3 linked regions of the Rattus norvegicus genome follow. The protein of the gene in region 1 interacts with the protein of each later gene in a biochemical or structural test. Links are inferred from orthologs where the notes say so. Each region holds a gene or a part of one and is shown in the gene's direction. Other genes may lie near its edges. The genes, in order: Ubr5, Paip2 and Pck1.

Region 1 (3,649 bases):
TGAACATCGAGCCTTGGGTAGGGTGGTAGAGATCTCTCATTTATTTATAGCTGGACATTCAGCAGTTATCCTTGTACTTTGACCAGGTGAGTCTTCCGTCACACTGACGGCTACAAAACCCTTCCGACAAAGTCGACAGCAGCACTAAACGTACAATCTTTAGAACACAGTTAAATGGTTACACCATATCCATTCCACAAAATAACTCCAGAAGCCTGTCACTCTTCATCCCAAGATACGTGATCACATTAATAGTACCAAATTAATTGCTTTTAACCAAACCACTGAATATATCAGAAATAAGGATATTTTAGTGAGAAGTATGTATTTTCCTTTTTAGCCGAGACCAAATTTAAGTTTAAATGCTCTTATGCATAGAATTTGAAAACCAAAGCTCTCAAACATGCAAATACTCATATGTTGACCCTTTAGCTCATGAGATCTGCTAGACCTCAGTTTAACTTGGTGATGTGAGCTTTGTAAGTTACCAAGTTTCTTAGAACAGTCCAGTTTGTCACTTGGATTTAGTGACCTGTATCATATGGTGACTATCAAGAGCATATGGGATATTTAGTCAAGATCAATGTTCAATAAGTTGTGCTGGCTTTTCCAGTTATTTTTGAAACTAATTATTGTTTTTGTTACTACCGCTCCTACAAAAGCACGCTGTTGGCTTCACCTCATAGCAGTTAACTTTTTAATTCCTGTTTTAAAAAAAAGTAAATGAATTGTCAAAGCCAAAGACTTTCTAATTTTTCTCTCTTTAAAGCAGTTTTATGTATCTTGTGGGAAATTCTTTTATCACTGTACCTGTAAGTTAAATAAAATTAGGGCCGGGATATAGGTCAGTAGTAGAGCACTTATTTAGCGTGCACAAGTTCCTGGGTTCAATCCTTATCACTTCCCCTCCCCGAAAAGGTAAAGCCATTACAGATTAATTTGCTGTTGCATGGAGAAAGGACGCTTCACTTGACTTTTATGATTATTCTCCAGGTCAACTGGCATGACTTTGCTTTTTTCGACCCTGTGATGTATGAGAGTTTACGACAACTGATCCTTGCATCTCAGAGTTCAGATGCCGATGCTGTTTTCTCAGCAATGGACTTGGCGTTTGCAGTTGACCTGTGTAAAGAAGAGGGTGGAGGCCAGGTAAAGCAAACCCAGTTTTCTGATCTTCGAGAGAGGATCGGGTTATTTGTTAGACAAATACAGGACAGTTTGGGGCAGGAACCAAGAGAGAAAGATTGAGACAAGGCACATGCCCGAAATGAGCATTGTAGGAGAGAACAGAGAGAAGAATCAAGAAGGAGTGAGGTAGAAAGTTCTCTTGAGCTGTTACTGCTTGTCAGAATTGCTTTTAAATGTCACTGCTGAACTTTTTGTAGGTTGAACTTATTCCAAATGGTGTAAATATACCAGTCACTCCGCAGAATGTATATGAGTATGTAAGGAAATATGCGGAGCACAGAATGCTGGTGGTTGCAGAACAGCCATTGCACGTAAGTATTTTCTAGAAAGTTCAATGGATGTCATGTGGTGAAACTTTTTGTTTTTGCATTGTGGTAAATTAGCCCAGTAATCTGTTCTTCTGCAAAAGGCCAAAGTTTTCAAATTTAAAATGAGTTTACAACTAAATTCAAGAGTTCAGACTAAGTACTCGTTTACTTTTGGCTATAACTGTTGGAAAAACTGTATAATCAAAAAGAGTAGCTCTGGTGAGCAAAAGTTGAAAGGGGGCTTGTAGGACTTAAATACACTTCTTAAGTCATCCTATGGCCACCTCTCCTTACGAATATCCTAGTTAGAAGGATTCACTGACTTCAGCCAGTTACACTTAGTAAACGTAAAGACACCCCAGCAGCATAAGCAGAGGAGGAGGCTGTGTTAGGTAGAACCTGAAGGGTTCATGTACAAGCTTCAGGGTACATGTTTTCATGTGGGCTGTCACAGACAATATACTCAGTATAAAGTGCTTCAGCACATGTACGACGAACGTTGCTCAGGGAAGCCTCAGAGAGTCACAGCCCAGGGTTTTTATTGGTGGCTAGTCCTATTAGTGTTTCCTCGCTGTACAGCCAGCTGCCACTACTGCAGTTTTAGAGGAAAGCATGTTTCCACCATATTGTCAGCACAAATAACATGGCTTATCTATCAGAAGGGTCATTGCCCTAGTCACAGCAGTGGAGAGGCATTCCAAACATAAGTCCTCAAGACAGTGACCCAAGGACCAGCTCTGCATTCAGGCCCCTTCAGAAGAATCAGCACATGGTTCCTGCGGTGTTAATGCTTTCCCTTTGCAGGATAAAATTCCTGTAAGCCAAGAGTGGTTCTGATTCTTGTGCTGGGAATTGTTGTACTGAGATGAAGTTCCTGACTACTTTCTAGCTGCACTTTGGCAGGCTACTTAGTACTTCTGCTCATGGCTTTCCTTCTGCAAAATGAGGAGGCCAAGATCGAACCATTAATGCACCCCAGATACTTAGCATAGCTCTGGGTGGTACATTTCCCAATAGATTTTGGGTTTGAGTCTGGGAGGTTTGTCTTTATTGTTTTCTGGGATGCACTTTCACCAACTGAAGTGATGCTTAACTCATATGCTGTCTGTGTTATTTATAATTATAATTAAATATAATTATATTTAATATGTTATAATTTAAAAAGTAGTTTCCCTTTTCTACTGGGATGTAAGAACACTAAGCAACTTCTGAACTGCAGCCTGTTTGCTGTGCTCAACTTTTCCATTGTTCTTTCTTGACTTTGTTAAGAGGAAAGTCACAATAATTCAGCCCTACTCTTTCTCCTCGCATTAGAGAACTAATGTTTTTAGAGAATGCTGCTAAAATTAGATATTGAGTTTTAATAGTATAAACAGATGCCTTGGAAAATAAAGTACTTCTTACAATAAAAGAAATAATTTAAATTCTCTAGGCAATGAGAAAGGGTCTACTAGATGTGCTTCCAAAAAATTCTTTAGAAGACTTAACAGCAGAGGATTTCCGACTTTTGGTGAACGGCTGTGGTGAAGTCAATGTGCAGATGCTCATCAGTTTCACGTCTTTCAATGATGAGTCAGGTAGGAAACTGCACGTCTTTCTGAGAGGTAAAAGCCAAGTCTTCTTCCCAAGCCCTGTAAGCAATCAGGCCTGAGTTTTTATTCTCATTACATTTAAAGGTATGATTAAGTATTTTGTTAACTTAGAATTAGGCTATTCTTTTGTTCCTTATGGGAGGCCAAAGCAGGAGGATCTGAAGTTCGAGGTCAGCTTTGGATACATAGTGAGAACCTGTCTAAAAAAATCTGTGTGTGTGTGCTCACATCCAAACAAATTTTGAACACAGTAAAATTTTTTCGTGGTGGGAAAATGATGTTATTGCTAAAGTAATAAAAATAATAAATGTTTCCTGTACCTCCGATAGTCAAAGAACATGATCACATAATGTTTGGTTTCTAGAGTTGTGACTGGGTGGTCACTTTATTGTAAAGACAAAATTCACATGACTCCAGAAGCAAAAGAAAAAAAATGATTATAATCATTTGCAAATAAGCTTTATCTCAGTGTGTGATTTGCCTTAAAGTTGTTTTTATTTTTTAGACATTCAGACAGTGTAGAATTTAAAGCTATAAGAAATTGATTATGAAAACAGTATA
Region 2 (3,749 bases), on another chromosome or scaffold:
TGATTTCGATTGCACAGTCAGCCTTCTATCCGGGTCTTTTGTGGCGCGCGAGTGTTGCCGGGATAGCACTTTCTTGCGTTCCTCAGTCAGTCCTTTTTTTTTTACCCTGTTCGGTGCCTTTTCCCCTGCTCCCCGTTTCCCCCCGGCCTCCCCTTTGCCACTTGGGCAACAAAGCTCATTGTTTCTACTCACTATGCGCCTGCGCGTCGCCACGCGCAGGCCCTACTGCTGCGCCTGCGCGTTTCTGCGGATGCTGGGTTTTGGGAGAAAAGGGACTGGCAGGCTGGCGGTGTCCCTGGGGAGCACTCTGTAACGGTCGAACGGCTTGTATCTTTTTCAACCTCTTCCATTTCTTCAACATCCCTACCCCTTTATTTTAAGCTTTATCACGTCCTTCAGATAGGGCCGTTGTTTGGGGGCGCTGGGAACACACAAGGCTTTAGCTAGATAAACTTAAAAGACCCGTTCAATTTTTACGATTTGATACTGGTCCTTTTACCTTTCGTTAATATGTGCTTATTCACCACCACTACCACCTCAGTGAAAGGAAAGAGTAGGATAGTAGGGCTTGTGTTGAGGTTAATTTTTAAAAAGGTGCTGAAGCAGCCTGCTGTAATTTTCTAAATATGTCTAAAAGATTTGGCAGCCCCAAACCCTTGAACGAAGTTGGTTTTCTGTTTGCTGACAGCCTTTGACTCTTATTTCAGTGAACGTTCATTTGTGTATGCTGGCTGAGAGTTTCTTGTATCAAGGTAGCACGTTTTTCACACGTTTCTTTTAGCAGTGGATAGGTGTTGATTCATTTAGTAGCGTCTGAAATTTCAGCTGTGGATTGTTCCAACTAGATAAGTCTATGCAAGGACTTTAATGAGTTCCAGTACCTATTCTGTGGTTCTGGTTTGTTAATGACGGGATATTGAGAACAGTCTCTGTATTAGTGGTCTTGAACAAAACAATTCTCACAAATATGTATCCCAAAGATAGGTAACTTTCAAAAAAAATTATACCCTATTTATCTGTTTCTTTAGGGGATGGGGGGAATGGCGATTCACTGTAATGGTTAAAGGCTGTGCATATTGGTCCTTGAGAACTCAAACCGAGGTAGGTAATTTCTATCCTCTTTGGGACAGAGTAAGTTTATACCAGGTTTTCCCTCCAGTAAACAGTAACTCTTATTCAGGTTTATCCCGTTATAACCCTAGATAGTGTTGCCTCCATTTTAATGGAAATTATACGATGTCCACTGTTAGCAATTTTAATGGGTATTGTGGACGATTGAAGGAGTATTTAATAACCTTTTGGACTTTTCACATCTTTTTATAGTTTATAAAGTATTTTCATATAGCATCGTGTGAAATGGAACAGGTTTATTTTTACCTATTTTAAGTTGAGAAAAGGGATTGGAGAGATGGCTCAGTGGTTAAGAGCACTGACTGCTCTTCCAGAGGTCCTGAGTTCAAATCCCAGCAACCACATGGTGGCTCACAACCATCTGTAATGAGATCTGATGCCGTCTTCTGGTGTATCTAAAGATAGCTATAACATTTATATATAATAAATAAATCTTTAAAGTTGAGAAAACAGGAACATGTTAGGCATTGTTCAAAGTACTTTTATAAATATTAATTAAACTGTGTGGTGGCTGAATTCTGTGAAACTCAGCATTCCTGTGGCTGTTAAAGGGCCTAATGTGGTAGCAAACACCTTTGATCCCAGTACTCAAAAGGCAGAAGCTTCAAGGCCAACCATAGCTACATAGTGAGATCCTGGGGTGGAGGATACTTGAAATATGGCAGGCTCAACTAAAGGACTAAAAGAGTAAATTCTAATTAATTACTTTAATTGGTGCCATTGTACATGGTCAGCTGCCTGAAGGGTTTGAATTAACTCTCTTAATTTTAGTACCTGGTTGCATAAATTAGTGTAGTGTTTCTGATATAGTTGAGCTTTTGATTAAACTGGAGAATTAACATTTTTACCAGTTCACTTTTATAAAGGAGATTAGTGTTATAAACATTAGGGTTATAATTTTTGTTTTGTTGTAGTGCAAAACTAACATTTCCAGCCCTTTGGGGCAAAGTCCTGATAAATTAACCAGACTGCCTACTTCTTTGCTTCCTAAGTAGCTAGGAATTCTAGAGTCTGCCACCACACTGGCAAGTCCTAGCCTTTAATTAGGATTTTTCTGTAACATTGTTGGACTTGTACAGGCATAGGACATGTGGTTTTTAACTTGTATCTTCCTGTAGAGGATTAATTGTTCTAAATGGTTAACTGAGTTTGATTAGATCAAGTTTATAATCCTAGCATTTAGAAAGTTGAGGCTAAGTAAGCACCAGTGCTACATTGCTGTAATCCCAGCACTCGGGAGGTAGAGGCAGAAGCTGTAGGGAAAACACTCACACAGATAAAATTAAGTAATCTTTAAAAAAAAAAAGGTGTATACGTGCGTGCTCTTGTGCGTGCATGTGCACACCTGCTGCAAAGATGAGGGGGTGGAGTAGGAACCAGGGATGATGGTTGTAAGCTACCATGTGGGTGCTAAGGACTGAACTCTACAAGTACTCTCAGCTGCTAGCCACCTCTTCGGCCCTAGGTACTTAAAAAATTACCCATTTTACATGTGAGGAAGGTGAGACTCCGTTTCAATAACTTATTACACAGCTAATAAGAACAAAGCAGACTGATGATGAAACAGCATTTGTGGCTGCTGGTTTTGTTTTTTTGTTTTGTTTTGTTTTTTTTTGTTTTGTTTTGTTTTGTTTTTTCTTCTTTCTTTCTTTTTTTCTGGAGCTGAGGACGGAACCCAGGGCCTTGCGCTTGCTAGGCAAGCGCTCTACCACTGAGCTAAATCCTCAACCCTGCTGCTGCTGTTTTAATCTTATGAGCCAGGCTTAGTATATAACCCCAGCTAACCTGGATCTGCCTCTTGACTGCTAGAATCAAAGGCGTGCTCTAACACTGTCTGCCTAGCTTGTAGCTACTCCCACTTGCTTGCTTGCTTCCCCCCACCCCCTTTGGAAAATAAGTCTTGGCTATATACATAGTAGTATGAACTTTTTAAAGATTATTTTATGTATGTGTATATTTATCTTATGTGTACAACTACGCTGTCTTCATTGGATCCATTACACATGGTTATGGTTGCTGGGAATTGAACTCAGAACCTCTGGAAAAGTAGCCAGTGCTCTTAACTTTTGAGCCATCTCCAGCCCCCAACCCATACCGAACCTTTTAAACTCCAGATTCTCTCATTTCAGTCTCCCTGAAGTTACAGGTTAAGGTTACAGGTGTGCTTCACTGTGTCTGGCTCTTAGAATGTTCTTGTAATTATCTTGTGTCAAACATTATGACAGAAATTTAATGCTTCCCCAAAACTTCTGTGTGGAAAAGACTAATGAAAATATTTTTCTCTTGTGAATCTTATTTTGTTTTTGAGACAAGGTCTTATTTCATATTCCAGGCTGGCCTAGAACTTAATATGTAGTCTGGTATGGCCTCAAACTCAGGGTTTTTCTACCTCAACCCCTTGAGTGCTAGAATTACAGGTAGGCATCACCATGCCTGATAGAATATTTGTTTTTATTTAACTCCTGAAGAAACTGGTAGACTAATAGATAGAGTGCATGTGGGAGGGGGTAATATAAAGAGTGCAGTGCCAAGGAGTAACAGAAGACAAATTAATACCTTTCAGTGCAAATAAACAAAAGAAACAGAAGATAACTCTATTAGAATTTTAATGACAATTC
Region 3 (3,749 bases), on another chromosome or scaffold:
CAGCCCTGCCCAATGGGCTCTCTCTGATTGACTTCTCACTCACTTCTAAACTCCAGTGAGCAACTTCTCTCGGCTCGTTCAATTGGCGTGAAGGTCTGTGTCTTGCAGAGAAGGTTCTTCACAACTGGGATAAAGGTCTCGCTGCTCAAGTGTAGCCCAGTAGAACTGCCAAGCCCCTTCCCCTCCTCTCCCTAGACTCTTGGATGCAAGAAGAATCCAGGCAGCTCCAAGGGTGATTGTGTCCAACCTAGAATGTCTTGAAAAAGACATTAAGGGGACTAGAGAAGACAGGGGATCCAACGGTTCTCTGCAGCCCAGCCTGACTGACATGTAACTCTTCTGGTTCTCACCAGCCAGCTGGACCTGCTTAGTATTCTTTCTGCCTCAGTTTCCCAGCCTGTACCCAGGGCTGTCATAGTTCCATTTCAGGCAGTAGTAATGAATGAGCTGACATAAAACATTTAGAGCAGGGGTCAGTATGTATATAGAGTGATTATTCTATATCAGGCATTGCCTCCTCGGAATGAAGCTTACAATCACCCCTCCCTCTGCAGTTCATCTTGGGGTGGCCAGAGGATCCAGCAGACACCTAGTGGGGTAACACACCCCAGCCAACTCGGCTGTTGCAGACTTTGTCTAGAAGTTTCACGTCTCAGAGCTGAATTCCCTTCTCATGACCTTTGGCCGTGGGAGTGACACCTCACAGCTGTGGTGTTTTGACAACCAGCAGCCACTGGCACACAAAATGTGCAGCCAGCAGCATATGAAGTCCAAGAGGCGTCCCGGCCAGCCCTGTCCTTGACCCCCACCTGACAATTAAGGCAAGAGCCTATAGTTTGCATCAGCAACAGTCACGGTCAAAGTTTAGTCAATCAAACGTTGTGTAAGGACTCAACTATGGCTGACACGGGGGCCTGAGGCCTCCCAACATTCATTAACAACAGCAAGTTCAATCATTATCTCCCCAAAGTTTATTGTGTTAGGTCAGTTCCAAACCGTGCTGACCATGGCTATGATCCAAAGGCCGGCCCCTTACGTCAGAGGCGAGCCTCCAGGTCCAGCTGAGGGGCAGGGCTGTCCTCCCTTCTGTATACTATTTAAAGCGAGGAGGGCTAGCTACCAAGCACGGTTGGCCTTCCCTCTGGGAACACACCCTTGGCCAACAGGGGAAATCCGGCGAGACGCTCTGAGATCTCTGATCCAGACCTTCCAAAAGGAGGAAGAAAGGTAGGCAGGGCCATTCCACTCTCCTCTCCAAAAGTACCACTGAGGGGTCCACTCACAGTCTTTGCCCTGACAACCAAGGCCCTCTAGCCATGTGCAACTCATGCAAAGTCTACAGAAGGAACGGGAAGGGCCCATGGGTGCCGGTGTTCAAGAGCCTCTCTTTTTGTTTCAGGTGGCACCAGAGTCCCTGCCTCTCTCCACACCATTGCAAGAATGCCTCCTCAGCTGCATAATGGTCTGGACTTCTCTGCCAAGGTCATCCAGGGCAGCCTCGACAGCCTGCCCCAGGAAGTGAGGAAGTTTGTGGAAGGCAATGCCCAGCTGTGCCAGCCAGAGTATATTCACATCTGCGACGGCTCCGAGGAGGAGTACGGGCGGCTGCTGGCCCACATGCAGGAGGAGGGTGTCATCCGCAAGCTGAAGAAATATGACAACTGGTGAGTCCCTTCAGCCCAAAGTCTCTGGCCTACAGGCTCCTCAGCTCTACCTTCTCGGAGTCTGGAGAATAAAGACCCTTGCAGTAGCAAACGCCTGAGAAGCTTAGGAGATCAGTCAGAATCCAGACACCCTGTGAGGTTAGCATAGCCAGCTTCTAGATTCCAGATAGCCATGCAAGGCGGCCCCTTTCCCTAGGGCCAGCTCATGGCTTAGCAAATGTCTACCTGGTCAAGTTCCCGTTGGCTTGGCTTCCATACCTAAGTAACACGGTCAACGTCCTTGTGTCTGCAAGGCCGGGAAGAGCCTGAGGTAGGCAAGAGAGGTACATCCCCAAGGGTACCTTGCTGAAGGCATCCCTGTGACTTTTTCAGTTGGCTGGCTCTCACTGACCCCAGGGATGTGGCCAGGATCGAAAGCAAGACGGTCATCATTACCCAAGAGCAGAGAGACACCGTGCCCATCCCCAAAAGTGGGCAGAGCCAGCTGGGCCGCTGGATGTCAGAAGAGGACTTCGAGAAAGCATTCAACGCCAGGTTCCCGGGGTGCATGAAAGGTGGGTGAGGCCAGACCCCAGGCCTGACAGTGTGCTGTGTGCACAGTTCACGCTCCCGGTGGTGGCTTGAGCTGCAAAGGGTGGCCCGCGTGCGAAGCTCGCCGTCTGGTTCTGTCTCACGGAATATCAAATTGTTCTCTGAGAGTACGGGTGGCTCCGACCTGTCATCTCAGACATGGAAGCTGAGGCAGGGGCATTCAAAGTTTAAGGCCAGCCTGAGCACTTTACAGCTTGGTCTCAAAAGAAACAGTCTCCACGGTGGGGTGTTTGCCTAGAATTTCCAAGGCCCTGGCTCCAATCCTTAATGTCAAATAGATAAAGCAGAAAACACACACACACAAAATGCTTCCCATTCATGTGGACGTAAAGCAGCTAAATTCAGCCAAACAGGGGGGCTGTGAAAAGTTTAATTTCAGCATTTTGCTGTTTCTACTGGTCTCTGAAACCAGAGGCTGGTGGCCAGTAGGGCATGGTGTGGAAGACGTAGCTGGAAGATGAGTCAAGGAAGCTCAGAGGGCCTCCTTGGCTTCTTACCTATTTCTACCCATCCACCTCTGCAGGCCGCACCATGTATGTCATCCCATTCAGCATGGGGCCGCTGGGCTCACCTCTGGCCAAGATTGGTATTGAGCTGACAGACTCGCCCTATGTGGTGGCCAGCATGCGGATCATGACACGGATGGGGACCTCTGTGCTGGAGGCCCTGGGCGATGGGGAGTTTATCAAGTGCCTCCACTCCGTGGGGTGCCCTCTCCCCTTAAAAAGTAAGTACCTCCTTTCCAGATCAAAAGGGAAGAGTTCGGGGAAGGGCTTAGTGGGTAGGATGCTCACCCAGGGTGCAAGAGGCCCCGAGTTTGATGCCGGACACCAAATCAACTGATCATGCTGGGACAGGCCTATCACCCCGGCACTCAGGAGTCAGAAGGATCAGTTCCAGGTCCCTCTCAGCTCCGTAGCTGGTTCGAGGCCAGCCTGGAGACTTGGGCAGGGATGTGTGTATCGCAAGCTCACGACTGCTTTGCTTGTTTTCAGAGCCTTTGGTCAACAACTGGGCCTGCAACCCCGAGCTGACCCTGATTGCTCACCTCCCGGACCGCAGAGAGATCATCTCCTTCGGAAGCGGATACGGTGGGAACTCACTGCTTGGGAAGAAATGCTTTGCGCTGCGGATCGCCAGCAGGCTGGCTAAGGAGGAAGGGTGGCTGGCGGAGCACATGCTGGTACGTGGTCGTCGGGGAATCCTGGGCGGGAAATTCGGAGGGCCTGGGGTGGCAAAGGTGGGCCATGTCGAGATTCCCCAACCTCTGAGGACTTAAGGGCAGATTGGAGTCAACGCCGAGGTGACTCTAAGTACCCCCAGCGTTCGTCTCTTGGGAAGGGGCTCAGACACACTAGAGCAACACTGACAGTGGGAATTTTATTCCTCTGCACCCCATCAGTTTACCCCGATGCAGGAGGGACGGATCATGGGGATCTGCCTTTGGGGAGATGCTAGGCGCTTTCCAAGACCTTTGCTGGAGGAGGGGGGGTC

Evidence for each region.
Region 2: the proteins of Ubr5 (region 1) and Paip2 form a complex in vitro, tested with the Homo sapiens proteins (2 studies listed by BioGRID and IntAct, with this or other methods). The link is inferred for Rattus norvegicus from reciprocal best matches to the Homo sapiens genes UBR5 and PAIP2.
Region 3: the proteins of Ubr5 (region 1) and Pck1 form a complex in vitro, tested with the Homo sapiens proteins (2 studies listed by BioGRID, with this or other methods). The link is inferred for Rattus norvegicus from reciprocal best matches to the Homo sapiens genes UBR5 and PCK1.

The regions. Positions count from the first base shown.
Region 1 is NC_086025.1:71,005,206-71,008,854, reverse strand, and holds part of Ubr5 (E3 ubiquitin-protein ligase UBR5), read left to right. Parts: intron 1-993; coding exon 994-1,149; intron 1,150-1,385; coding exon 1,386-1,499; intron 1,500-2,928; coding exon 2,929-3,073; intron 3,074-3,649. UniProt on the Homo sapiens protein: E3 ubiquitin-protein ligase involved in different protein quality control pathways in the cytoplasm and nucleus. Mainly acts as a ubiquitin chain elongator that extends pre-ubiquitinated substrates.
Region 2 is NC_086036.1:27,474,236-27,477,984, forward strand, and holds the start of Paip2 (polyadenylate-binding protein-interacting protein 2), read left to right. Parts: upstream 1-1,042; 5' UTR 1,043-1,101; intron 1,102-3,749. UniProt on the Homo sapiens protein: Acts as a repressor in the regulation of translation initiation of poly(A)-containing mRNAs. Its inhibitory activity on translation is mediated via its action on PABPC1.
Region 3 is NC_086021.1:182,347,447-182,351,195, forward strand, and holds the start of Pck1 (phosphoenolpyruvate carboxykinase, cytosolic [GTP]), read left to right. Parts: upstream 1-1,125; 5' UTR 1,126-1,227; intron 1,228-1,399; 5' UTR 1,400-1,440; coding exon 1,441-1,664; intron 1,665-2,036; coding exon 2,037-2,218; intron 2,219-2,778; coding exon 2,779-2,982; intron 2,983-3,250; coding exon 3,251-3,438; intron 3,439-3,749. UniProt on the Homo sapiens protein: Cytosolic phosphoenolpyruvate carboxykinase that catalyzes the reversible decarboxylation and phosphorylation of oxaloacetate (OAA) and acts as the rate-limiting enzyme in gluconeogenesis.